Linked DNA regions of Lepisosteus oculatus. The protein of the gene in region 2 interacts with the protein of the main gene of each other region in a biochemical or structural test. Links are inferred from orthologs where the notes say so. Each region holds a gene or a part of one and is shown on either strand. Other genes may lie near its edges. The genes, in order: dusp3a, mitogen-activated protein kinase 1-like, dusp1 and ptprr.

Region 1 (7,411 bases), on a different chromosome or scaffold from region 2:
AACAGTTTAACCCAACATAGTGGAAGAACACCGACTGCACTTCATGACAAGCATTAAAAGAGAGAAGTACAGTACAAGCAATGCCACACTACCTTTTTAAAGGACTGGGAACAGGAAGGCAATCTTTTTGCCCTGTGAGACAATACTACGTTGTAGTGAATAAAAAACTGGATCCCAGGGATGAAAATTTATAACTAGAAACACTTGCTGAGTGACTCATGTGGTGGGGGTGGATGTCGTCTCTGTACAATCTAGGTTTTGCTGATATGAAAAATGTTCAACTCAAGTTATATTTAGAGCCAATGCTAGAATGTTTTTTTTGCTGTTCATTTTTTAGCTTATGTATCATTTTGGAAGCACAAGTATGTTTTCTAATATATCAGTACAGTTTTATACGGATAATTTTCTATGACTTGCAACTGCTTGGCATATACTGTACAGTTCAGCATGCTGAATAGTTAAGATTTTTAAAAATCACAATCCAAATACATTTTTAACGTTGCCTTAGCTGTGCTTTTCTAACTGTGTGGGTTGCTGCACATTTATGGCTTTTCATTAATTTCATCCTAAAGTAAGGTTCTCTTTCTGCACATATTCCATTCTAACCTATTGTAATACGCAAGGGTTGAGTACTGTAGGTTTGACTAAGAATCAAGCTCCAGTTGCCTGTACTGCTTCCGAAGCAATCATCTTTTTACCTTTTAGCCAAAGCTTGGAACATGATCTGGTTAAATATAACAGCCAGGGGCATATGTTTAAACCAAAAACAAGACAGACAAATGAGAATGCATTTAAACTAATTCAAAAATAATAAGCTATATTCAGTGACTAAAGGAGTTTCTGCCAAATATTGAGAAAAGGTGTAAATACTCATGCAAGCAACATATTTTAGATTCCAGTTCTTCTTTGCAAATTGTGCCGATGGTTAGCTTCTTTCACCCATAAAAAGTGTTTTGTTTTTTGTATTTTGTTGCTCCAAAACACTCACTTTCAAATGTGTCTCCATCATTTGCAGTTTAACAAAAGGGACACCATCGAAAGGAGGCTAATACCTTTGCAAAGAACTGTGCCCCTTGGGTTTGGCACAGCTGTGGTACTGTAATTGTGAATAACATTTAACGGACTAATATAATGCTACTGGAACTCCCAGACTGATGCACACAGAGGGGACAATCCACTTTGCTCTTCGATATTTTGAACAAGCAATTGTAAAGAAAGAGAAACAATTTGAATAGTATAGAAGCGTGAGTCACTGGCATGCCCAGTCTTTAAATACTATGTAAGAAGATGCACTGCCTGTGTGGGAACTCGGAAATTTCACTTTGATCCTAAGAGGGAAGTATCCTTTTCTCCTTGGTCTCTCTCAGGTGTTGCTGAGATCTGTAATCTGGATGAGGAATGCTGTCTGCCCTCATTCCCACTGCATTTTGACAGATTTACTGTTTAAACATGCTTTATTAATCCGTTACATGAATTTGCATAGGTGTGGCTCTAAAAACTCTAAAAGCTGAAGTAGAGTAATTCACCCGAATTGTCGTCCATTTGCACCGAAAAGACTGGAAATTAATTTGTTTTTAACCTGTCAATCCTTTACTTTTGAATAATAACTCCTTCACGCAAATCGAATATTTTCTCATGCTTCTGTTGCATCGAACAAACCCAAGTCCCGGAGTACAAAGAATGAAACAGGTGGGCCGGCGATTTATTTTGACGTTTCTTTTCAGGTGCAAAATGTCCAGTAGGTGCACTTGTCTGCACTGTGCTGTATGCGAAGAAGCTAAGAGCGTTTGCTTTGTGCTTTGTGCATGAAGACACCGACGAGACCTTAATGTGCACACGAGACAGGTCAGCTTGACTGGCGACACGCTATAATGAGCACGTAATGAGCGCACGCCCCTCAGTTCCAAGCTCGAGTCGCTTATTTTCAAATCCCAACCCTGAAAACATCACTGAAAACAGTTAAACCGACAGAGAAAATAAATAGAAGTGGCCATTTCTCCATTAAAATCCTTATCTCTATACCACAGCCCTCCTTTACAACTGTACAGTTTTAACCAAGCCCTAGCGATGAGCGACTGTGTATTTTACTGTAGCGTTATTGTTCTGTTGATGTAATGAATAGTAGCAATTGTACGAAAAACAACAATAATTGTTAACAGTTTAAAGTTGATGATAATTAACTACGAATGCTAGCATTCAAATCAGCTACCAGATACTGAAGATGTACGTATAAAAATGGTTGTGTGTCAAATAAACACTGCTAGACTAAAAAACACATAACATTCAGATATTAATGGGTGACTCTAGTCTCTGGATTAATTTGAAATGAATATCTGAATGCATACTATAAGTAGGCCACAAACATCAGATTTTTAATTTAAGATCAGGTGATGCATTTGATTTGACAGGAAGATGCACATCCTGAAGGTTATGAAAACAACACGACATTATGTTCCGCACCGCACCTTCTCCTGCTCAGATTTGTTTAGGGTTGCTAAGGAGAAGGATACACCTTTTCTCAAATAACGCTGCTTCTGTTACGGAGGGAGCAATGAGCAAATAGCAAATAACTGGAATCCAGTTTGGAAGAAATGGAAAACTTACGCGTTACCCACGTAAATCCTGGGAAATACCTCATTGTAGTGCTGTGTAGGCAGGCTGTAAAATCCGCTGCCGTTTGACAGCAGCTCGTTAAGTTCTTGCACTGAGATCTGGTAGTCTGACATGTTGACTTTGGCCGGGCTCTGGTTCTTCTTCATGTGGGAAAAGCCTGCGATACCCCGCGAGTTATTTTAGAGGGGTGAACAAGTGTCAGGTTACTGTGCGAGCCCGGGCGGTGTCGGTTTCTGATTTTGGACCATCGCTTTTTTTCTCTCTTTTCTGTGTGCTCTGTGGATTTCCAAGGCGCACTCGCTCGCTCCGTCACTCCCCGCCCGACACACCCCGGTCTTCAGTCCGCTTGCACACCAGAGAGGAACGGGTCGGAGAGAAAGGCGCTCCGCGGGGGAGATTGAGCGAGCGACGCGCACAGGGTGGCGACCAGGACGCGACAGGCACGGGGCGAGGAGGGAGGCAGGGAGAGGGGAGCAGTTAAAGGCGCCGCCGAGCTGAAGCAAGACTCGCAGCCCTGCCGTCTCCGAGCTCTGCGCACACCAGGGAAAACCTAGGTTGGCCGGCAGAATGTCATGCTCTCCTGGGTATTGCCTACCTTTAAATTTCACGCTGGGAGGGGTGGAGGAGGGACATGGGAGATGGGGCTCAATAATGATAATAAGCTTGCATTTAAACAGTTTCTTAACCCCAAACGGTCCACATATACAGTATACATTGAAGAGGGACCCTTTGCATCCACCTGGTTGACGCACAGATGGCGTTTGCGTCAGGAACCCTTGTGCAGTAGGTGGAGAAGTGAGGAATTAGTTCACCAACTGAATTAAAGGGGGAAAAATACGTTGACAGCACTTTTGCTCAATTTAGGTACTGTAGGTCAGCTGGGTTAACATCCCTAACTAAGAAGAAATCTGATTCCTTTCCATCATTTCCACGAGGTGAGGATTGCTGTACTCTGAATGAAAGCTACCTCCTCTAGTTATAAAGACCTGGGCTATACCAATCAGTGATCCATATTGGATCTACTGTACATCTCAACTGTGAATCTTTGTGTCTAAGGTACACGTCAACATCAGTCAAAGGCTGTGTGTCCTATGATCTATTTCTCATTTCATAGAAGTCACTGTACGGACAAAGATGTGTTGCAATAGATGAATTATTTCAAGAAAGCCATCAGTTACTAATGTAAGTAAATGCATAACAGAGTTTGTTGCATGTTGTGTTGGCTGCTCAAGTGCTGAAATCTGTCAGTCTTATTTCCATTTGGGGTTTTCACAAGCTGGTTTTCAAAGGTTCTTTCTTTTTCCCCCCCTGACATCACTGAGAACCCCAGACCCCCTCCCCCCTGTACATTCCCAGCCAGGATGGTCAAACAGGCGTTGCTGTTCTGAAACAAAGGCCCTATTCTGTCTCATAAATAACCGAGCCAGCAGACTAGAGACAGCTCCTTACTGACATTGCCAGGATGGAGCCTCTTGATCTGTACCAATCCTGTCAAGAGTCAGAGAAAGCAGCTGGACAAGCCTGTCAGGTCTCTAGAGGGTTCTAAGAACATCAAGTGCCTCATTTCTTTCATGGCATTACACTCTAATATCTATTTTTTATATATCTTTTTGTTTGTATTTTACCATGGCTTGTAACCATTTTTCTTCACTTCAAAACAACACCAGCAGTTAATGTGACTGAAAATATTCACATCGATAACATAACCAGTAACATACCAGGGGTGCTTGCTGAGGTTCTGGAAAGGTGTACAGCAGAGAGCTGGCACACAACAGCAGCCTGGTGTTGTTTGTTTGCTTTTTAGGAATGTAATGAGCGTGGAGATAATCGCACAAGCCATAGACCATAGAAAGAGTTTAAATGTAATAAAGCTGTGATGGGATCTGGACTCTGTCATTGCTTAGACATTAACGTAGAGAATATGGGTTTGTAGGAATAGAGAAACCCAGAGAAAGATGGGACAAATGTATCTCTACACAGGGCAACAGTGTTACCGTCTTGTAGCCTGAGCTACAACTGAGCTGAAACTATGCAAGGCTGGGCCTCATCAGCACTGGGATGGGAGGCCTCCAGGTACCTGTTTGTAGGTGTTGGCCAGTGAGTAAGTGGCGTCCTTGTGTATTGACCGGGGTTTTCAAACCAATGCTCTGGTATGGTGACTGAGAACACTATGCTACATTAGGTGCTGTCGTTGTCATGTGATATTAAATCAAACTTCTAACAACTTTCTCATTAAAGATCCCATTTAAGATCAGAGACACAGTCTCGTACTCTGTGTAAGGCAGAAAGCCCTTTGCCACTGGCTTGAAGGACAGTATTTTGCACTCAGTGCACAATTTAAAATAAATAGCGGCAATATGTCCTTGAAATACTGCACAAGATCTAGACTTATTAAATCATAATGTCACTTTGTATTTCAGCATATATATACTATCTTTTTCCTAGAATCTTTCTGCAGGCTTGTACTTTTCTTACCTTGAAGAGAGAGCTTTTATTTTGTTTTTGGCATAAGAATGCATATGTTGTCTGTGTTAAAGCACACATGCCCTTCTGTAGCCACACTATACCTCTGTAACAGAAGTATACCGAAGCTTAAAAGAAATGCAGCCCTCAGGTCAGTGGAGTCGGTCAAGTGGTTTAAACATGCATACAGTATCAAAGAAAATCACAGAAATGGTGAACAAAAGTATGGATTTAAGAATCTTCACAAGTTTGTAGTGTGACGGACTGTCAAATTAAAATAATGACAAAGTTAGAACACCCCTGAGCTTTGATGTATGGACCTAATCAGCCTCAGAGTAGACTGCTGTGGGAAGTTCTGCCACTCTTCCTGAGCTGCTGCAAACAGCTTGCAAAAGTTGTCTGGTCACAGTTGTCTACTGTTGATGGCACTGGTGTGTTGGTCATCCAGTTTTGATGACTTGGTCTGCCTGGGTCAAACAGTGAAGATAACACTCTGCCCATCTCTCTGACACCACCTCTTTGGTCCATCAAACATGGCTATCTCAACTCTCAGCTTAGTCCTGAACATCCTCTAAGCACCCATTTCATATCCATGTGGACAGCAGGCTGCAATCATTGAGTTGTATGGAAAGAGCTCATGAATGAAATCCGAATAGACAAGTGGTGGCAGTGTTCTCATAGTGGCCTCTGGTGGTGAAAAGTGATAGTGCATTTGTTTTGCACAATAAAAGGGCAAGCATCAGATTTTCAATTAGGCTTTCGTTAAAGACCCTTGTAATCCTATTTCACTGGAGAAATGTACTACAGCTTCAATATATTCCTAAGGTTTTGTTCTTGGATAAACTGTTGTTAAATATTATTTTGATAAACGTTGATTTCTTTTGTCCGTGCATCTCTCTGTAGAGCGCTCTTACAAAGTTGTGGACAATTGGTTTCAGGTTCTCTCGTTTCATTGTCTGACGTGGATCATCAATATGTTCAGCCCCAGCTCTCCAGTGACCAGTCATTTAGTTTTCCGATGCCCTGTGTTTGCACATAGGGTTGTGTCTCCTGTTTTCTAGCTTGAGCACTTTTAATCTTAATTGCTCACTGAACTTTACTTGTGACTGTGCTTTTTCTGTTGCTGATCCTTTGTTATTGAATAGCCTTCTTCCATAGAGAGGCAAATTCTTTGACCCTTTTCAAATCTAAACTTAAAACTCACCTTTTTACTGTGTCTGACTATCTTACAGTTTGTCCTGCCTGGTGGTGTTTAATTTTATTTACTTTTTATTATTTTGTCTGTTTTTATTTCTTATACATTACCGCCTGTGAGTACAGTATCTTTGGGTTTGGTAAGAAGCTTTACAAATAGATGTTATTATGATAAATTGAAGCTCTTGAGATTCATAATGTGGCTAATCTTAAAGCTGTCCCACAGGACTGAATCTGCCTACACCTTTCAGGTTTTTGCATACCTGCAACAAACCCCACTGTGATCCTCTCTCTTGTAGATTAAAAGGTTTCATTTATCTTAATCTGTCTGAATATGACATTTCTGTCAGGCCTTTCTGTACTACTGTATATCCAGGACAGTAATCTCTTTCATGTATCATGGAGGAGGAAACTGCACATGACATTGAAAATGAAGTCTGCATGAAGTGTGTATTGCATCATTTCCACATTGTTAATCTACATCCAGAATTCTGCAGTATGAACTTTAAACATTGGACATTGGACAGTTTTATTACTTCCTGATCCACAATAGATGATGAAAGTGGGTCAACATTAAAGCCTCAAATCATTCATGGATTACATCTTTTAGTTTAGTATCTCACAGTTCATATTAAAAATGTACATTTTCTGGTCTTCAAGGAATGCATTGCATTGATAAGTTGATAAAATATTATAATTGCATTTGACATTAGTCATTGGTGGGCTGGACAAATGATGAAATGGGGCAGAAGGAAGGAAAGAAGGGGAAAGAGATCAGGTGAAGCAGGCATTGAAGAAAGTAGGAGTAATGAGCAGGAGGAAAGGTTAAAGGAAGTGGCTCCATAGGCATATTTCCTGTTTGACATTATACATACATCCTGTGCTCAGTGTCATATGACATTTCTTGCATAAGTAGCCATATCATCGGTATAATCAAGCCTGATTAATGCTTGTGCCTTTTTTTGCTCTAGAGCATTATTGTGAAATGCTAAGCTGTGTTGAAAGGTGCTAAGGTATTTGCAGACTAACTTAATTCTCCATATTTGGCTATACCAAATATGAGTAAAACAAATGTCTTATCTCTACATGGGTTTGACACAAGCAGAGTAAAATAGTTAATACAGTAAGTACAATAAAGCTG
Region 2 (7,239 bases):
CACTACCTGCTCTCTCTCTCCCTGACTCTCCTGAGCAGCGCTCATCTCTCGCTCTCCGGTGTGGGGGGCTCCCTGCTCTTCTGAGGGTTGCGGTGGTCCACTCTTTACTATCTGCTCTCCTGACTGGGACGCCACCGGCTCGGGCTCACCTGCTCCCTCCAGCGATCTCCTCTCCTGCACCCCGGCCGTGGGCTCTGACTCCCCGCTGCCTCCCTGCGCTGCTCCGCTCCCCGCTGCCTGACGCTGTCGGCTAGCCTCCTGTGCGCCCTGGGGCTGAGGCTCCCTGCCTGTCTCTTCCTCCACCTCCGGGCAGTTCTTCACCACATGCCCCTCGCTCCCGCACCTGAAGCACTTCATCGATTCCGAAGTCACGAATACAACATAGTCGCAGCTGTCAATACGAAATTTAAGGGCCACATTGATCTCTTCCGTGGGGTTTTTTAGGATGACGTAGACCTGTCTCCGGAAAGAGACGACGTGCTTCAGCTGCGGAGCCCTGCAGCCCAGAGGGACCCTCCTGATCGGAGAGACCACCTGTCCGTATCGGGACAGTTCCCTCTCCAGCAGCTCGTTCCTCATGAACGGAGGCACGTTGGAGAGGGTGATCTTTCGAGCCGGGGCCGCGAGAGGCAGTACCGGGGTGAAGGTGCCGTCCAGGACAACTCCCTTCTCCACCAGGGTGTTTGCCAAATCGGTAGACTGCAAGAAAATGACTATACCTCCACTCATGCGGGAAGCGGACCTGATGTTCCTGCAGCCCACGACCTCCCCGACCGCAAGAACGCACCTCTCAAGCGGACAGAACTCCGCAGGGGAGATTTTCACACCATGGCGGCGAGTTAGTTTCTCAAAGGAGAGGTCTGGAGGATCAGAGCCTCCAGAACCGGCCATGATGAGAAAATAAACCCCGCTTTTCCCCAAAAAAGACAGAAAAACACAAACCCAGTGAAGAAAACACCGCCACACGATCAAACCCACCGAAGCTCCGCCCACTCACTCACTCAGTCTCGCGAGAAACACACAGAGAGAGAGAGAGGGGTTCATACACACACACCGACTGGACACTCCAGTACATTAACACTGCACTGAGAGAGAGAGGGGTTAATACAGACACACCGACTGGACACTCCAGTACATTAACACTGCACTGAGAGAGAGAGGGGTTAGTACACTCACACTGACTGGACACTCCAGTACATTAACACTGCACTGAGAGAGAGAGGGGTTAATACACACACACTGACTGGACACTCCAGTACATTAACACTGCACTGAGAGAGAGAGAGGGGTTAATACACACACACTGACTGGACACTCCAGTACATTAACACTGCACTGAGAGAGAGAGAGGGGTTCATACACACACACTGACTGGACACTCCAGTACATTAACACTGCACTGAGAGAGAGAGAGGGGTTCATACACACACACCGACTGGACACTCCAGTACATTTACACTGCACTGAGAGAGAGGGGGGTTCATACAGACACACTGACTGGACACTCCAGTACATTAACACTGCACTGAGAGAGAGAGGGGTTTATACAGACACACTGACTGGACACTCCAGTACATTAACACTGCACTGAGAGAGAGAGGGGTTAATACAGACACACTGACTGGACACTCCAGTACATTAACACTGCACTGAGAGAGAGAGGTTAATACACACACACTGACTGGACACTCCAGTACATTAACACTGCACTGAGAGAGAGAGGTTAATACACACACACTGACTGGACACTCCAGTACATTAACACTGCACTGAGAGAGAGAGAGAGGGGTTAATACACACACACTGACTGGACACCCCAGTACATTAACACTGCACTGAGAGAGAGAGGGGTTCATACAGACACACTGACTGGACACTCCAGTACATTAACACTGCACTGAGAGAGAGAGGGGTTAATACAGACACACTGACTGGACACTCCAGTACATTAACACTGCACTGAGAGAGAGAGGGGTTAATACAGACACACTGACTGGACACTCCAGTACATTAACACTGCACTGAGAGAGAGAGGGGTTAATACACACACACTGACTGGACACTCCAGTACATTAACACTGCACTGAGAGAGAGAGGGGTTAATACACACACACTGACAGTGTGACTGTGTTGTCTGTACCAGTACCCGGCAGGTACAGGTACAGGTAGCACTACAGGCTACGCTCCGTCGGTCCGTCTCTGTCTCTTCCTCCCGGTACCCCGCACTGCCACGCCTGGTCTGCTCCGACACGCACCCCCGCAAGACACCCCTCTCCCGCTGTGGGGTGCGGTGCTCAAAGCCGGAGGCGAAACACGCGTGGGAACCTGCCCCAAGACACCCTGATCGCCACCCGCCGTGCACAACACCACACTCCCCCCCATAACCGCGATGGCAGCGCCTTTCCGGCTGCAGAAACGCGAGCGAGAAGGACGCCCTTACCAGACCATCCCGTACGCGCCCTCCCCGATGTACTGCAGGTCCGTGTAGCGGGGCCCCACGTCGAAATTCTGCCCCTTCACCGACTCCAGGCCCGGCTTGGAGCCCCCGGCCCCCGTGGAGCCGGCGGCCGGCGCGGCGGCGCCCCCGGCCCCGGCTGGGGCGCCACTCGAGCCCGAGGCTGCGGCCGCCGCTGCGGTGGCTGTCGCGTCCGCCATGACTTCCGTGTTGTTGCGAGGCCGAGGTGCGAGTGTTTACACGGCGAGTTTGTGTCACTGTGACAGGGAGGAGCTAAGAGAGGAGGAGGAGGAGGGACCGGAGTGCGGATTAAGCCCCGTTTCGCACAAGAACAGGGAGCCGGGGACGGGGGTGGGCGAGCGCGTTTCTCACTGGCGGAGGGGGAGGCGCGCAGAGAGACGAGGCCTCGCCGGCCTGAGCGCAGAGACAGGACGCCCGGCCTCCTTCTCTCTCTCTCCTCCTCCTCTTCCTCCTCCTCCTCTCCCCCCTGGCGAGATGCGCGCTGCCGCCGAGGCAGTGCGCGGCCCCGACGACGCTCGCTGGCTCTGCACGACTGCGTGTCCGTGGGAGTGAGAGTGGGAGTGGGAGTGGGCGGAGGCGTGGGCGTGGGCTCGTTGCCATCCTGGCTTGGGAACCCCGTTTCGAGAAGCACAACACCGAACAAAAAAAAAAAACACGAGTCACGTCCCGACAGGTTGAGGCAGAGATGGACGGTGAACGCCCGCTCGCCCGGGGCGTCCGGAGTCTGAGCAGAAACCGCAAAAACAGACACACACATATATATATAGTTGAAAAAAAAATCTGTGTTGTATATTTCACGGCATTGAAAGATTTGTTGTTGTTGTTGTTGTTTAAAAAAATGCACATGAAATGAAACGAAGGTGCTAATCGTGCGAAATCACGCGTGGGCGCCAGAGCTGGGCACGCGGATTCTAGCTCATTTCTGAATTTCATCAGAATGAATACATTCCTCACACTCGTGCAGCGCGTTTCTGGACACACACACGCAGAGCGCTTTACAGGTCATGGGGATCCCCCCCACCCCCCACCAGTGTGTACCCCCACCTGGGTGATGTTCCAGTATTCTCCCCACACAGCAGCTCTCAGAGTGATGAGGACAGGTCAGAGGTCATTAATAATAGCCTTATACTTATATAGCGCCTTTCTGGACGCCCCGCTGGTGGTGGGGATCCCCTCCAGCAGCAGCAGTGTGGAGCCCCACCAGTGCGCTCACACACAGCAGCTCTCAGGGCGAGGAGGACAGGTCAGAGGTCATTAATAATAGCCTTATACTTATATAGCGCCTTTCTGGACGCCCCGCTGGTGGTGGGGATCCCCTCCAGCAGCAGCAGTGTGGAGCCCCACCAGTGCGCTCACACACAGCAGCTCTCAGGGCGAGGAGGACAGGTCCGAGGTCATTAGGGGTTACTAGGAGGCCAGGACTGGTCAAGACCAGGGGGACACCGGGGTAACACCCCGACTCTTTTATAGAGACACCCCGGGATTGTTCATGAGCACAGAGAGTCAGGACCCCGGTTTCACGTCTCATCTGAAGGACGGCGCCTTCTTCCAGTCCAGTGTCCCCGTCAGTGTCCAGCCCTACTCTTTTATAGCTCACCATCACTGGACTGGGGCATCAGGACCACACAGAGCGCAGGGAGAGAGCGCCCCCTGCTGGCCCCACTCACCCCTCTCCCAGGAGTCTCCCCTCCAGGTACTGGCCAGGCTCCCCCTGCTGGGCTCCAGTGGGGCTGCCAGGTGTGCCACTCACAATGAGAGAGAGGGGGGTTAATACAGACACACTGACTGGACACTCCAGTACATTAACACTGCACTGAGAGAGAGAGGGGTTCATACACACACACTGACTGGACACTCCAGTACATTAACACTGCACTGAGAGAGAGAGAGGGGTTAATACACACACACCTACTGGACACTCCAGTACATGAACACTGCACTGAGAGAGAGAGAGGGGTTCATACAGTCACACTGACTGGACACTCCAGTACATTAACACTGCACTGAGAGAGAGAGGGGTTCATACAGACACACTGACTAGACACTCCAGTACATTAACACTGCACTGAGAGAGAGAGAGAGGGTCACAACGGGTCCCAATCCTACTGGGAGAGGGAGGAGGGAACTCAGTTGAACTGGCAGCCCAGTATGTGATCTCCTGTCCCAGCCTGAGGAACAGTGAGTCTGTCTCCCAATAATGCTCCAGCCGCCTACAGTATATGTCAATATTTTATAATATGTCTTTGTTGTAAATGTCTGTAACCTGTCTTCTATTTTTTGTTTTGTTCCATGTTAATTTTATTATTTTTATTTGCTTTGGCAACACTGATTGTACCCATCGGTCATGCTAATAAAGCACCTTGAATTGAATTGAGAGAGAGAGAGGGGTTAATACAGTAACTCTGCACTGTGAGACTGTAAGGGAACAAAAGAGAAGAGAGAGGGGAGAGAGGGGAGGGAGAGATCAGGAAACAGCAGCTGGGAGGGGAGCAGGAATGCAGGAAAGAGGGAGGGAGGGGAGTGCAGTCAGGGGACCAGAGAGAGGGAACAAGTTGTAGAGAACAGAGAGCAGAGAGAGGGTGAGACAGACTGAGAGCAGAGAGACAGAGAGACAGACTGAGAGCAGAGAGACAGAGAGAGGGTGAGACAGACTGAGAGACAGAGGGACAGAGAGAGGGTGAGACAGACTGAGAGCAGAGAGACAGAGAGACAGACTGAGAGCAGAGAGACAGAGAGAGGGTGAGACAGACTGAGAGACAGAGGGACAGAGAGACAGAGAGACAGACTGAGAGCAGAGAGAGGGTGAGACAGACTGAGAGACAGAGGGACAGAGAGACAGAGAGACAGACTGAGAGCAGAGAGACAGAGAGACAGACTGAGAGACAGAGGGACAGAGAGACAGAGGGAGGGAAGAGAGAGACAGACTGAGAGACAGAGACAGGAGGACAGAGACAGAGAAAGACTGAGAGTCAGAGAGACAGTGAGAGAGAAAGTTAGACAGAGAGGTGACAAGTTTTAGACACAGGAGAGGGAGGGGAGAGAGAGGAGAGAGAGGGAGGAGAGAGGGGAGAGAGGAGAGAGAGAGGGGAGAGAGAGGGGAGAGAGAGGGGAGAGACAGGGGAGAGAGAGAGAGGAGAGAGAGAGGGGGGAGAGAGAGAGGAGAGAGGAGATAACTCTGAACTCTGTGAACTCTGTGAACCGCCTGGCAGTAAACCCCAGTGAGTCAGCGGTTCTCTCTCCTGCTCCGCAGCACACCTGCGGGACCCTGACCGGACCGGACCGGACCGCCACGCACACAGTACCGGGCTGGACAGCACAGGTCTGGACACAGCAGGCAGAGCACCCTCTCCAGAGAGCAGAGTTCAACTCCAGGCTGAGTTCGAGTGTGTGTCAGCGTGTGAGTGTGTGCGTGCGTGCGTGTGAGTGTGAGTGTGTGTGCGTGCGTGTGTGTGTGTGAGTCTGAGTGTGTGTCAGCGTGTGAGTGTGAGTGTGTGTGTGTCAGCGTGTGAGTGTGTGTGTGTGTCAGCGTGTGAGTGTGTGAATGTGTGTCAGCATGTGAGTGTGTGCGTGTGTGAGTGTGTCAGTTTGTCAGTGTGTGTGTGTTAGTGTGAGAGTGCATCAGTGTGTGTTTCAGTGTGTCAGTGTGTGTGTGTCAGCATGTGTGTGTGTGAGTGTGTGCAGACTGTTCTACTGTACTGGGACTGTAGCTCCTATTGTAACAGACTGGTCTACTGTACTGGGACTGTAGCTCCTATTGTAACAGACTGTTGTACTGTACTGGGACTGTAGCTCCTATTGTAACAGACTGGTCTACTGTACTGGGACTGTAGCTCCTATTGTAACAGGACTGGTCTACTGTACTGGGACTGTAGCTCCTATTGTAACAGACTGTTGTACTGTACTGGGACTGTAGCTCCTATTGTAACAGACTGTTGTACTGTACTGGGACTGTAGCTCCTATTGTAACAGACTGGTCTACTGTACTGGGACTGTAGCTCCTATTGTAACAGACTGTTGTACTGTACTGGGACTGTAGCTCCTATTGTAACAGACTGTTGTACTGTACTGGGACTGTAGCTCCTATTGTAACAGACTGGTCTACTGTACTGGGACTGTAGCTCCTATTGTAACAGACTGTTGTACTGTACTGGGACTGTAGCTCCTATTGTAACAGACTGTTCTACTGTACTGGGACTGTAGCTCCTATTGTAATAGTACTGGTCTACTGTACTGGGACTGTAGCCCCTATTGTAACAGACTGTTGTACTGTACTGGGACTGTAGCTCCTATTGTAACAGACTGGTCTACTGTACTGGGACTGTAGCTCCTATTGTAACAGACTGTTGTGCTGTACTGGTACTGGAGCTCCTATTGTAACAGTACTGGTCTACTGTACTGGGACTGTAGCTCCTATTGTAACAGACTGTTGTACTGTACTGGGACTGTAGCTCCTATTGTAACAGACTGTTCTACTGTACTGGGACTGTGGCTCCTATTGTAACAGGACTGGTCTACTGTACTGGGACTGTAGCTCCTATTGTAACAGACTGGTCTCCTGTACTGGGACTGTAGCTCCTATTGTAACAGACTGGTCTACTGTACTGGGACTGTAGCTCCTATTGTAACAGACTGTTCTACTGGACTGGGACTGTAGCTCCTATTGTAACAGACTGGTCTACTGTACTGGGACTGTAGCTCCTATTGTAACAGACTGTTGTACTGTACTGGGACTGGAGCTCCTATTGTAACAGGACTGGTCTACT
Region 3 (7,365 bases), on a different chromosome or scaffold from region 2:
TTCCAAACAACGCGGCAGGAGCAGGGGGCTGAAAACCGCTGCGACGGCATCCGATTCCGTCTCGCTATGTTGCTCTGCGCTGGCAATAAAGCTGTTAATGACCCGACTAATAGAGGGACACTGCCTCATTCTGAAACAGGAAGAGGGGCTATAAAGAGCGCAAACAAATGGAGGGGAAGACTGACAAAGGCCTGCCCTGGCTGAAGGGTGGGAGTGGGGGGTGGGGGTACACATTAAGAAAGCACCCCCCCCCCCCCTCCTGCTGTGAGCATCAGTCCGGGAGGAAGGCCAGCAGAGAGCGAGGGAGAAACCACCTTTTGTTCCGCGGCCTTTGTTCTGCTGGAGACTGGAGGCACGACAGGAACAGACCAGCCACTCTGCTCAAAAGCAGCCCAGGTCGTGGCCTTGTGGTTAACACAAGAGGGGGTGTGCCTGTGTGGTTTAGGGAGTGGGGGGTGCCCCTCTTGAATCTGAATGGGGCAAGGGGGGTGGGGGATGACATCAGCCTGCCTGCCAGGGAGCTCGGCTGACCAGCTGTCGAAAAATTGGAGGGAAACCCCTTTTGAATTTGAATCAGGTCTCGCAGAGCTGAAGAGAAAGGCCTTCCATTAAGAGTCTGTTTTTGATTTCTGGAGTGTACTCGTAGCCACATTCTGCACGCGAGTAAGTATTTCAGTATTTGAGTAAGTATAGTTTCATATCAATACTAGAATTTTGGACCCTGAACGTTTTTTTGGTAGTAGAAATGAAATCTACTGACAATAGAGGGACAATACTGAGCATGCCAAATGTAAGTGGCATTTTTAGAACCGTTTCCAGACAAAGCTGAAGAAGCAGAAATCAGAAAGCACACAAGTCCACAGCCAGGAGTAGTACAGTAGTATAGATGGGTTTGCCAACACGGGAAGAAAGCTTCCTTCTCTGGGACACAAGAAGAAACTCAAGCCTACGCCAGGAGATTGTCACGAAAAGTGTCGTGTATTTAGAAAGCGCTGGAAAGAACGTGCTCACCGATGAACTCGATGGCCTCGTTGAACCAGGAGCTGATGTCAGCCTTGTGGTTGTCCTCCACCGGGATGCTCTTGTACTGATAGTGACCCTCAAAGTGGTTCGGGCAGTTGGCGGACACGTTGATGAGGGCCGTGATGCCCAGAGTGTCCAGCATGTCCTTCCTGGAGGCGTGGTAGGCACTGCCCAGATAGAGGAAGGGCAGGATCTCAACTGGACCACCCTGAATGGAGAGGGACAACACACACATTTGGTCACTAATGCAGCAGCAGCGCTGGTCTTATCAAGTCTGGGGGGGAAAAAACAACCCTTTTAGCTTATGCTATTTTCACAGGAAGGCTTCTAAGTAAGACGTGAGTAATACGTTACTAGAGGTCACGGTTAAATCGACCCACAACAAGGTTTAAGATAACCGTCACAATCCCTACAGAACACAATTAATGGTCTGTCTTGGGGCGGGAAAAAAAAACATTTAGCGAACGAAAATACCCTTATGAATGGTTATTTTTCCCCCGAATCTGCCGCTGCAAAGGGGAATTTCTGCCGTCGACAGTGTTTTTAGAGTATCAAAAGCGTTATTTTTGCCGTGTCACTGTCAGACGCTAAAAAGGGGGAAGTGAGTGCGAAACAGAGACTGTGGTGCATTTTAAAGAGCCGAGCAGCTTAAGGCTCTAACTCTGCTCTTACAATGTGCAGGAGCTTACCTGGTCGTACAGCGGTGTCCCACAGGAACTGCAGCCGGACTCCGCGCTCCCGGGCGGGCAGCTGGAGCTCAGCGGCAAACACAAGCCCTGCGGGGCGGCGGGCTTCGTGCACAGCTCGGGAAACTCGGAGGCAAACGCCTCGAAGCCACCTAAAGCATGAAAGGGGAAACCGGAAGGTTATTATGAACGCCTAGCGCCGCACTTCAGCGCTGGTCTACCCCGGCGCCTTTTAAAATCTGGACACAAAAGGCGACGCGGCTCCGGCACCCGGAACCGCCGCTGTACAGACGGGCCACTTGGCGGGCAGAAACCTGAGCAGCCCGGTCTCCTTCACTCCCCCCCAAAGTGGAGACCGGGGAAACAATTTACAATGACAAAACAGGTCGCTTAGGCTTGTAGTCCAGGGGAGAGAGAGAGAGAGGGGAAAAAAAGCGTTGCGCGACTCGGGCACCACGCCACGCTAACGGCGTGCTAACAGAGCAAAAAAGACCACCGAGGAACCTCTTTCTCGGGCTCGGCAAACGTGTCAGGAGCCGGGGTTCAGACGCACCTCTGAGCAGGAACACGCTGGCCCCGCAGGGGTCGCGGCGCAGGGCGGCGACGGCCAGCATGAGCGTGCTGTCCTTCTTGACCTGCTCGAAGTCCGCGCTGCGCTCGTCCAGGAACACCACCGCGCGGCACTGGCCGGACAGCAGCCGGCACCGGGCCTCCTCGTTGGGCACGATGTGCTCCAGCCCCAGCCCGCCCCGGGCCCGCCGGCGCACGATGGTGCTGAAGCGCACGTTGGTAGAGCCGGGGATGTGAGAGGAGTTGAAGGAGAAGAAGGAGCGGCAGTCGAGGACCAGCGCGCCGGCGTCCAGCAGGTTTCGGAAGGCGGCGCAGTCGAGGCTGGGGACTTCCATTATGACCATAGTAGTGGGGCGACACGTTGAGAACGGCAAATCTAGACGCATAAAGGAAACAGACGGCGAGTCCGTTCTTCACCCCCTTCCTTCCCCGATACGAAAATGAATCGAGCGCGGGACGAATACGGTTGTTGCCTTTTTTTATTTTATTACGATGAGTATCTTCAGTTGGTTACTCTTTCTGTTCTTTGACGGAGCACTCTCTCGGTTCGAAAAAGAACACGCGGGTTGCCCCCCAAAACAAACAAACAAACAACCCAAAAGCCGGTATCGATAAGAATCCGCTTGTTCTTTACAATCAGTCCCTTTGTTTTTCTTTTGCTGTTGTGCTGGCGTCCGTCCTGCCTAAGACTTCCCAGCCGCTGATGTACGCTTGCTTCTGCCTAACCCTCGGCAGTGTGGTTTTTATATGGGGAGCCGGCGCTCTTTTTGTGAATGAGAATGCGATGACGTAGAGGCTCCGCCTCCCCTTGGCAGCGTGCCCAGCGTAAACTTGGGCGACGTCATTCCACGAGCAGGGCTAAACCCGGGCAGCCAAAGTTCCTGCAAAGCCAAACAAACCCGAGATTGCGATCTGAGACCTGGAGCAAAGCCAAGTTTGTAAGAAGCAGGGCAGCACGGTGTTACGGCCGAGGAATGGTTTTGTCCCGAGAGTTTTCGTGAGTTTACCGCTGTGTTACTATTTAAGGAGGAGAAGTCCTATTCTGGTCACTAAAGGTTATTCACCAAAAACTACAGTGATGTCACAGCGTGCAATACAATCCTATGATATACGAAAAGTGGTGATCAAATATTTCTGATGTTTGATCGGGACGGCGCACCTGACTCATCAATTATTTGAAACACTTCAAAGATATCATCTGTATATGGAAAGATAAAAGAGCATTTCTAGATCTGTAATGTCTGCTGCCGACCACTCGATTCCAAAATACAGCCCCCCGACGTTTGACCTGAAAGTGATTTCTGTAGAAGAATAAACCCCCGAGAATTACGTGACGATTCGCTTTTTAAACTTCCTCTTACGTTTTAAAATAGGTAGTCTGTTCTCCCGGCCTTGGTGGAACAGAATATCAAATAAGAAACAGGTTAAAACACATCATTTGTAAAAGTACCGTTAGTAAGATAGTAAAACGAGGCACACGTTCAGGTAAGTATGCTGTGTTAGTACCGCATCTTCTTTCCTAAGTGGATTTTCTTTCAGGACTTACTTTTTAGGCTTACGGATAAATAACAGAGATAGCCGTGTTTCTGAACAATCGGGTGAAGCTTTGTTACCCCAGAAATGAGAAATCTTTCAACTGCGTTTTAATCCGAGGGCTCTGCTGCCTGTTCATGGGGACGTGTCAGGAATCCCAGTGATCTTCTGTGAAGGCTGAAAAAATTCCATGATGTTATTGTTTGTTTTCGTTTTATTTTTTACCCCTCAAAGGAGCTCTGACAAATAACAAGACAATAAACGAATATCTGCCACGCCGCCCATAAAATTTTATGTTCTCCTTAAGTACTGCATCGGGGCTAATGCTGGGTGCTAAGGTAAACCATAAAAGTTAATCACTATATAAAAACCTAGGGTCTGGTAAATTTCCATGAAGCTATCAACACTTGCTGTGTGGAGGGTTCATATACTGTGGCCGAGTTCAGGATCCAACTTCTTTCATTGTCACCTTCCCTTTGACATGCTGTGACCATTAGCGGAGACTTGGAGTGATGTAAGCCACAGAGGGCTTAATAAAATGGAAAAACTCGAACGAGCAGGTACAATAAGGTACAGTCGTGGTGTGGAATTAAGACCACAGCACAGACCCCCCTTGTTGAGGTCTTCTTGTGTGTCTCGAGTCCTTAATGTCTCACCACAGGACAGGCCTTTTCCCTTGTCAGTTCTTATACCAAAGAGGTACAGAATAGCCTGACAAAGACGACCGTTTTGTTGTTAAATAAATCGAGGACATGAGGGACAATCTGGCGGACTCCTTTCAGACCACCCAGTCTGTATGGCAACTAGTAGCTCACTGATGCGAGAACGTCACCAAGTCATTTCATGACATTTACTGGCTTCAATGGCAGGGCTGGGCAACTTTTCATGTACTTTTACGTGCTCCCACTGTGTGTAGAACGTGCTGTCTCGTCATCAGACATGGATCGCAACACTGGAGTAGCCCTTGCTGTGTTGAGGTTTACTCCTCTCAGTAGTGTTTCGCTGGTAGTTATGAGTCACAGCCTTCGTGCTGATGTGAGTGTTGTGGTACAGTCACGTGCAATACCGGTTGTTCTGCAGGTGACTCAGACAAACACCTTATGTACAAGGACTTATTGCCTTGTTTTTGTCCCAGCTGAAAGAACGATCATTCAATTTCCTGTTTACAGCATGGGCGTGAAAGAGAGAACAGTACTGTTCTAAGGTTCAGGTGGAATGCATGAAAACTGCAACATGGAAATAATAAAGGTATTGAAATTAAACAGGCCGCCTTAAGAGTACAGAGCTCTGTAATCTCGTGCTACCACAAAAATCCTAATTTTGAGTTGTTGCAAGGAATTTCAATGTTATTTAGACCTTAAAAGGTGATTCATGTACAGTATAAGATGAAGATCATTCTGTTTAGCTCTAACGAGTCTCCCTGAGATATAGAGGTTTTAGTTAGGGACTGTGTAAGTGTGCCAGGGATCAAGTAAAGGTCTTTCTTCCAGCCTGAAATGCAAAATGAAAGAAGAAACACAACTTTGCAGAGGTGGGGGATTGGCCGCACACCTGAAGAAACACCGGTCTCTCCATTCTGTCCTTTCACAAGCTACATACTTGCTTGTTTTGGGAGCTGAAAAACTAGACTGTCAGTTTATCATTTGGCCTCAGTTAAACCTGGGCGTGGAGGATGTTTGAACAGGGCGTGTGGCTGACGTTTTTTTCTGGTGTAATGAAAACATTGCATAAAAAACCTGTGACTAAAGTGACACACCATAGGGGTTACCAAGAAAATTGATATTACAGAACTATTAATATTTGAATAAATATTCCAACAAAGTCTGCCTTCGACCACTGGCCTTTACAATAAACAAGACAATATAGAAATTGTTTTTTTTAGCATAATATATTATGCTATCAGAATATGAGACAGATTTACACTTTCTTTTTATTCGAGCGTGATCTGGAATGACATGCCTGGGTTCAAGCCTTACAATACTTATGCTTACAATACACACCTGTATGAAAATGTGCAGTGAAGAACACAGTATTTAAAGCGCAGTCAAGGTATTGAAGGTCGTATACCCCGTCAGACAACGTAAATAACATTAATGTTCGCCTTTATTTAGCTCAGAATTGGAGCCTATATCATAATTAAATCATTTAAACAAGTCACCCGGGGCTGTTCATGCCAAACGAGAGAAGCTCGGCGCTTCAGCCCTGTATTCCTTTGCCCTGAGTAACTCCGGCATTTGACCGCTCCTTCGGAAAGATGGGTTCATTGCTGTCACACAAGCACAGAGCAGAAAGAAACAGAAAAACAAACAAAAACAAAAGCAAAGACGGAGAAAGGCAAGTAATGGTTTCCAAAAGCATTCGTGAGTCATATGCGCACAGTATCGCGTTGTGCTGGGGGGGATCTGCGGTCTGTAGTTACTGTCAGGCTCTGCAGGAGTGAATCACGTTCAAAGCGAAGGCATCTCGCGCCGGGCCGTCGCGTGCGGGGAGGGGCAAAGCGCTGATAGCGCTCGCCCGCCGTGTATCTGCATGGGCCGCCCTGCGGGTTCCTGGTTTCGTTTTGGGGGTGACCGGGAGTATCTAAGATTTTACTTTCTTAAAAAAAAAGGGCCGAATCGATTCTGATCACAACAGCAATTAACAACAATAGATACAGACTATAAGAGAACGGGGCGGAACTGCTGTGTTTTACGGGCTCTGTATGTGTGACCGAATCAATATAAATATATACAGTATATGCTCGATGTGTGTCCGAATCAATATAAATATATACAGTATATGCTCGATGTGTGTCCGAATCAATATAAATATATACAGTATATGCTCGAAGAAGTTCGGGTAGCTGCGTCACACCCGAAGAAGGCTCCACAGCTGAAACGTTGTGTTTTCTTTCTTCTCTTTTTCAGCATGGAATAAACCTGTACTTGTTCTTTAAATATGCTTGATATCCCTTATAAACGTTATTATCATTTGGGGGAATTTTAGTGAATGTTTTTTTTTTCTATCATTGCTATTTAATTACCTTCGGTGGGCATTTATGACGTTGTCGAAAAACACTACAGCAGGGACTTCAGTCTGTTGTGTATTTTTGTCTAATTAGTACTTATTACTCTTTGGGTTTGTAAAGCTTAAAACTAAGAAATGATGAAAGACTTAAAAAAAATCCTGCTTTAAAAGTATATGAATTTATGTTCTGAAGTAGTTCATTTCTTAGTAATATCACATTTGGCTGAGATAATGTAATGTTTTCTGAAATATCACATGACATCATCAGCAGAACTCTCTTTAACATTCCAAAACTTTCTAAGAGTCTGGAACATTCCAATACATATGTGTATTTTATTTTTTCAAAGTGGGATAAAACCTTCAGAGTATGTAAATAAGACATTTCGAAAATTGCATAACGGGGCTCAAATTCTCAAATGTGAGTCATACAAAATGTGTGTAACATTTACAATGGAGTCAAGAACATATTGCTTCACAGTGAATCACAAGACATAAGAAAAAATAAAATAATACTTTTTTCAAATAATATTGTAAGTGATATTTTTAG
Region 4 (6,919 bases), on a different chromosome or scaffold from region 2:
TCTTCCACACAGATACCACCAACACCGCCACCCCCCATACTGCTGCTGCCCAGTATGGGTTATTAGAGAACCTTGCGCCCGACGCGGGACACGAACCCACTACCCTGAGATTCTGTCTCATGCTCTACTAACAGAGCTAGTCAGGGAACACAATAGCTGCCTTACCTTTTGCAAATTATGCAGTACAGATTAAATGCACCTACTCTATTAAAGAACCACAGTGAAGCAACAAAACAAAAGACAAGAAGCGCTTTCCAAAGGCACACATTTGTATTCTACATTCAGCATCTTGCATGGAAATAACAGCAAGTCCACATGACCTCTTGCCTGACACCCATGGGAGGGAGGTCAGACTCTGAAAACAAAACTTTTTTTTTTCTGTTGCTGACAATCAAACAACAGAATACACAATTGTCAAAACAGGCATGTTTGTGTCTTGGTAACAATCTAAGCAAAGTTTGCTTAGTAGTTTGTTTGGTCAGGCAGCTAAAAAAGAGGATTTGAGCTTTCAATGATGCAGCAATGAAAAGGCTTTCTTAAGAGTCACAATACCTCTGTGTATTATGGCTCTGTGAGCTGCATCATATGCAAAGCCCAGTCATAATGCAGAGAATGCAGACTCAGATGAGAACTTGAACCGAGATAATAAATTATTTTCAGGCAACTGTAGTTATATTGATGATCAATCCTGCAAAAACGTACAGATACGTTCAGATAGAAAATGTACAGATAGGAAGCAATAAACTGTAAGCATTTGGACACAGAACTATTTTTAAAAATGTGGCATTTCAATATTACAACATTTACTGTTTTAGTCATCCTTCCCTCCTATTCAAAGAAATAACAAGTGAAAAATACAAGTGAAAAAACAGTATACAAGGATACTTTCTGAGGGTATTTTACACATTTAATTTGAAACATTCCACATTTTACATAACTGCATTTAACAATCATGTCCACAAATTATTTTTCCATTAAGTATTTTAAATGTTTTGAGCTAATACTCATAGCTACATACATGCTACCTTTATATGGTTCTAGCCTAGAGAGTTTTCTAATCCACTCTAATCATTAACCCATTATAGATTAATCCATATTAATCTATAATAACTAGTTTCCAGACATCAAGGACTTATTTTAAACTCAAACTGTTGGGTATGTTTTATGCACAATGCTACTGTACATTCCCTCTAATTTTCCAATTTGCTTACTCTCATAAATGGTCGGATTTAGGAGAAGATCATAACCAAACATGTATGCCAACTGAAATAAAACTGTGACCTAAATATTAATATACTATGATATTAGAAATCCTGTTTGTGAGGATTATTTTACATAGGGATATAATATTACAACTGTGTACCATTTGTGAACAATATTATACTATTATACACTATTATAAAGAGGCTCAATGTAGATGTTTCCAATGTCACCAATTTCTGTTATTTTAATTATCATAGTGGTTTAACCTGATTTAGCTCCTACTATTTGTTTAAATATTTTAACGATTGAATGCTGTACAAAAAAGGAAAATGTTGCATTTTGTTTATTAAAAGCTGGGTTTGTTAACAGAAGGTACAGTATATCCTCATACATTTTAAGGACGGACTAGAATTAGTCCATGTTGATAACAGAAACGGGGCATGAATTACATTAAATACACAGCAATCTAGTCTAACGAGGTGTTTATTCTTCGATATCGATAATGTACCCTAGTATTTAATCCTGCTTTCGATAATATACATTGTACCTAGGTAATAAGTGCATGTTTTATTGATTTACTGATTGGTTGCCAGACCTACAAACACGGTACTTCTACTGAAATGACTGAATTGGAAACCTTTCTCCTTCTGAGGAAGCTGCTAAGCACGTTTTCTCCCCGGCGACAGTGCTGTGTACAGACGGTCGCTGGCCTTGGTTCTGAAATGCTCAACAGCCACGGACTTGAACCGGATTGGAAATAAGGATTTGATTGGCAACTGCAATCACCATTACTATTAATCAAAATACGCAAACTGTGGCTTCTTCCTGATGTGGCTTTAACACTGGGCGGGATATCCTTCATTTCGTCTCGAAATTACAAACCATATACTAAACCGTTAAAGCCAATTAAAATTAAAATAAATGAATGCAGACAGGTCGATTGATTCGCAATAAACAGATACACGAACACAGTTTCACACAAAACTTCAATTTCGTAAACCAGTTCCTAAAATGCAAAAGATCAAATTCACCGCCTCCGCGAATTCTGTATACCCTCAAAATGCGACAACAATCTGCAGGTATTTCAGCGCATGAATTGAAACTTTACTATTATTAATGCAAATGTTTTTCTATCAAGTAACACCTGCTTTAAATCACTGTTTTTTTTGCATTTGGTAAAACAACCAGTTTAAAATTGTGGTCGGAGATGAGATACCAATCAATAAGGTTGTACACACCACCTACTGTATATCCGAAATAAATGCCATATGCGAGCTCGCGGAAACACGATTAAATGTTTTACACCTTCGCGCGTTCTTAATTTTTAATACTTACCAACAGTCTTTAGTAGAAATAGCGCGTAAACAACAATCTGGAACTCGCTTCTTCCTTGCATATTTCTGAGCCGTTGAGTCGTCAAACGTTCACATTAAAAACAGCTTTCAGAATGGTTTACTTTTCCCAATTACAATAATACGGAATGGTACGATTGTAGTCCTACAGTAGGTACTCTCTAAAGAATTTTCCGGTGATCCTAGCGCAACAATATTTTGCAATGGCGATTCTGCTTTACATCAGTCATCTCAATTTACCGTAGCTGAGCTGGCGCAGTTACTTTGCGAGAGTAGCGGTGGAGAGCTGATGCATAATTAATATGGGTAGTCTTCCGATGACACCCATTCCAAGATTCCACCAAATTCAGCCTTCTTGGGGCTCGAGAGTGCAAACGTGTGATCTGTTCGTGTTGTCTCGTTTTCAGGAATGCAATTTACGTGTACCAACATCGTGAGATTTCACTGACCTATTACTAATAGTAGTTTCTCTTAAAGGGCAAAGAAATAAAAATATTGGCTCAGATTTCTTAAGACAAATATTTTTATTAAGAACTAAAACTCATCTTAAACTAATCGATTAAGTAAAATGCAGACAACTGGATATGTTTGTTAATTTTTGGTAGCATGTTTAATTATATGCTCGGTACTAAACGGCATTTTATGTGAAAGCTATCGCTATATTGAATTTGAAAAAATAATCATATTGCCTTACACCTTGAGCCTCCTGGTGGAGACTGGTTTGCTCTTTCAATAACCCTCTAAGGATTAGGCGGTTTTTGAAAATGGATGCTTAATAAATTATTAGCCGTGGATACGGTATAAAGTACTGTATAATTTATTGTATATACACCTATAAGACATGTATATAGATGTATATATCCAGTCCAAATATTCAGTTTCATTATACAGATGGATATTAATGGGTTTCATATTAAATAATGAAACAATACTAAATAATGAATGACATTTTAATATTGCTGGTAATGGGTAAAGTTGTTGCTAAAGTTACTCTAATGGTTTAGGCATGGTATTAGTATACTGTATTTTAATCAGCTGGATCACAGTGAACCAAGGCTGGCTTATGGTCAATAATCAATATTTATGCGATGGTCCTGATAACCATGTCATTAATGGCAAGACCGTTATTGAAAAGAATGAAATGGTGGTATTAGGTGAAAATGTTTTTTTGTTAATAATTCAGCCTTCCTGTGGATTAATTACAATAGAATTCATAAATTGATAATGATGCACTGCCTCAGAATTCTAGGAAGACCTTTTTTTGCATTTGGACTCTGAAGCTTGACATTCATTTATTTTTATAGCAGAGGAGATACAGTACATTTTGTTTTGGTTTTCATGTTGTCTTTCAATTTGCACTTTGGGAATTCAGGGTAATATCTCTTTCAACCATGCCATAAGTAGCTTACTTTAAGAAATCATTAATATTCATAGAGGGCAAATTCTTACCCAAGTCTGAATATTACTGTACATCCACATTGAATTCCATCTGAATATTACGTCAGCATTGAATGATGTTCATTTGTCGTGTATGCATTTGTCCTGTGTCCATCCATCCATTTTCTAATCTCTTCTTCCTATTATGGGTCCCAGGAGATCCAGAGTCTATCCTGGCTTGGAGGCAGGGTAAACCCAGTCCATCACATGGGAGACAGACCAACACCTACACACTCACACCTAGTGACATTTTCCCAGAACTCAACTGACCTACCAGTAGGTTTTTGGACTGCAGGAGGAAACCCACACAAACATACAGTACCAACTTCACACAGACAGCATCCCAGGTCTGGACTTGAACCCACGGCCCCAGCGCTGTGAGACAGCAACGCTGACCACTGCACCGCCATTCCACCTTGTCCTGCGTTACCATGGAATCTAATTGCCAATTTAATTTATAGATCTACTGTATCTCCAGGGTTAGACTCAGCAAATGTCAGATCAGAATGGCTGTTAGCTAGAACTCTCATGGGGTTAAGACCACTTCATTCCCAATATTGAAGACCAGCACCATCTACTCAATGTTCAGATCTGGTGGCAGAACCACTGGTAACGAACAATGTATGAAATCTGAATTGTCTGAAAGGATTTGACAGTGTGTTATGAGCATTAATGGTGAATTAATAAAAGAGCTATTAAAAGTGGCACCTGTTTAATCTGTTCAATTAAAAGTGCAAATGTGAGAATATATGCAGTCTGTATTTCATTAATGAGAAGTTTGGTGATGATTTGTAAACTGGTAATAGTGTTCTACTGTCAGTTTTATACAGGAAGGAATCTTATGTATTTAAGTATTAAATGTATTTTCTTCACAATTCTACCTTTGTCTTTCATTGCTAAAGGTACAGAAAACCTTTAGTTACAGTACAGTATATCTCAGTATTTGGATGTAATATCATAGCAGTGGCTATGCTTACAGTTCTCTAACTTGGACAGGGGAAAATGGGAAGCAGCCGCTCTTAACTAAATGTGGTATTATTTAAGCAAGAACTAGTCCGTCTCATTGAGCAATCAAATATGACCCTCATTCTTTTTGCTATCACTCAAAACGCATGAACCACGGCTGTCTCACAACTGCTAGACCAAAGGGTGGAAAAAAATCATGATCATTCTTGCTGTTCTGTCATCTGCTTGACATCCTGCATCCTGTATTATTTCCCTTGTTAACGTTGCACTCAGAGCCAGGCGTGGGCTGTATCAGAATCTTGTCGTATTAGAATTAATCACACTAATATTCATAATATCCAAGCTGAATATTATGTCTAGAGTCAAATTAATAAAGCTTTACTATCTAATGAACTAAGAGTTCCCATAGGCTGCAAGTATATTATGATCTTGAAAATCATTAACGTTAAAATAACCTCTAAATGTTGTAATTCTGAAAGGTGAACCATCTTCCCATTTTCCACTTCCTGGCTGAGGGCTGCAGGTTTGCTTCAAGAATTTGCCTGAATTTTGAATCATTCATCTTCCCTTCTATCCTGACAAGTGCTCCAGTCCCACCTGAAGAGAAACACCCCCACAGCAGGATGCTGCCACCACCGTGCTTTACTGTAGGAATGGTGTTCTTTGGATGGTAAGATGTATTGGGTTTTCACCAGACATACCTTTTGCATACTGGCCAAAAAAATTGAGGTGCTTTTAGGTCTTTAAGGTGCTTTTTAGCAAAACATAAACAAGACTTGATGTGGCTTTTTTCTTGGCACCCTCCCATACAAGCCAGATTTGTGGAAATTTGTTCCACTTCTTAATGATGGTCTTGACTGTGCTCCATGGGATACATAAAGCCTTTGAAACCATTTTATACCCATCTCCTGACTCCTTTCCACAGCTTTATCTCAAAGTTTTTTCTGAAAGCACCTTTCCGCCAATAGTGGCTTCTTTGCTTTGAAATGCACTTCCAAGCAGTGGAATCCTCTAGAAAACACTACTTTTGTCCTGAACTAATCAAAATCACGACAATTGACCACAGGGAGCCAATTAGTTTGTTGTGTGATCTGTAAGGTTATTGGTTATACCTGAGAAGGTTTACAAATGCAATTGTAAGGGGGGTGTTCACTTATCCAAACAAGGTGTTTTACTGTTGTAAAATTAATTCATTTTCAGAATGTTTTAGAATGTTATTTTCACTTGGCTAATGTGGGTTACTGTGCGTAAATAAAGATGGAACAAGCCTAATTTAGTTTGTTTTTATTTTCAGAGTGTCATACAACAAAAGGTACATATTTTGAAAGGGGGTGTTGACTTTCTATACCCACTGCAAATTAGTTGAATGGCCTCTTCTCGTTTATAACTGTTCTGATGTTTTCTACACTCTAATGAATCCTTTGGCGGGTTCGGGAGGTCTGGGGAAAAGCAGGTCTGAGATTTCTTTTGTGCCTCTTGGGCATAGAGGCAAGTGAGAATTAATGCAGAAACTAAAAGGTTTCATTGCATTATTTTTTATGTGCCAATGAAAAGGATTATGGCCTTGTTTTCACATTGCTCTTTTCATTGATGTTTATAATAGCATTTGCTGTTATAAAAATTCAGCTGCTACTGTATTAGTGTCCGTTATTAACGTGAAAAAGAAAGAAGGGGTATCATCCATATTCCCCACCCTTCACCCCGTTTCTTCAAATTTATGATTGCACCATATACCTATTACAATTGAGAGTGTTAGAGTGACCCCTAATGGGAAGAAGCAGAGGTGCATCTGTTGCATGACGAGTATCATTTTTCAAGACCAAGACCATTTTCATAATGTTGCAATGTAGCAGAGAGAGAATTCAATTTAATACTAGAAGAGAGATGATCATGATAGCTTGAGGGAATAGACCAGTATGTACCCCAGAATCAGAACAAACAGAAAAATAAAATGTAAGTTT

The links.
Region 1: of the proteins of mitogen-activated protein kinase 1-like (region 2) and dusp3a, one has a biochemical effect on the other in vitro, tested with the Homo sapiens proteins (2 studies listed by BioGRID and IntAct). The link is inferred for Lepisosteus oculatus from reciprocal best matches to the Homo sapiens genes MAPK3 and DUSP3.
Region 3: of the proteins of mitogen-activated protein kinase 1-like (region 2) and dusp1, one has a biochemical effect on the other in vitro, tested with the Homo sapiens proteins (2 studies listed by BioGRID and IntAct). The link is inferred for Lepisosteus oculatus from reciprocal best matches to the Homo sapiens genes MAPK3 and DUSP1.
Region 4: the proteins of mitogen-activated protein kinase 1-like (region 2) and ptprr form a complex in vitro, tested with the Homo sapiens proteins (2 studies listed by BioGRID). The link is inferred for Lepisosteus oculatus from reciprocal best matches to the Homo sapiens genes MAPK3 and PTPRR.

What each region holds. Positions count from the first base shown.
Region 1 is NC_090723.1:3,225,507-3,232,917, reverse strand, and holds the start of dusp3a (dual specificity protein phosphatase 3), read right to left. Parts: upstream 3,016-7,411; 5' UTR 2,760-3,015; coding exon 2,605-2,759; intron 1-2,604. Other genes in the region: killer cell lectin-like receptor subfamily B member 1B allele A, read left to right, coding at 3,181-3,197. UniProt on the Homo sapiens protein: Shows activity both for tyrosine-protein phosphate and serine-protein phosphate, but displays a strong preference toward phosphotyrosines. Specifically dephosphorylates and inactivates ERK1 and ERK2.
Region 2 is NC_090699.1:2,582,349-2,589,587, reverse strand, and holds the start of mitogen-activated protein kinase 1-like, read right to left. Parts: upstream 3,021-7,239; 5' UTR 2,656-3,020; coding exon 2,441-2,655; intron 1-2,440.
Region 3 is NC_090706.1:38,261,673-38,269,037, reverse strand, and holds the start of dusp1 (dual specificity protein phosphatase 1), read right to left. Parts: upstream 3,016-7,365; 5' UTR 2,666-3,015; coding exon 2,263-2,665; intron 1,862-2,262; coding exon 1,713-1,861; intron 1,232-1,712; coding exon 1,012-1,231; intron 1-1,011. UniProt on the Homo sapiens protein: Dual specificity phosphatase that dephosphorylates MAP kinase MAPK1/ERK2 on both 'Thr-183' and 'Tyr-185', regulating its activity during the meiotic cell cycle.
Region 4 is NC_090702.1:22,913,706-22,920,624, reverse strand, and holds the start of ptprr (receptor-type tyrosine-protein phosphatase R), read right to left. Parts: upstream 3,020-6,919; 5' UTR 2,600-3,019; coding exon 2,539-2,599; intron 1-2,538. UniProt on the Homo sapiens protein: Sequesters mitogen-activated protein kinases (MAPKs) such as MAPK1, MAPK3 and MAPK14 in the cytoplasm in an inactive form.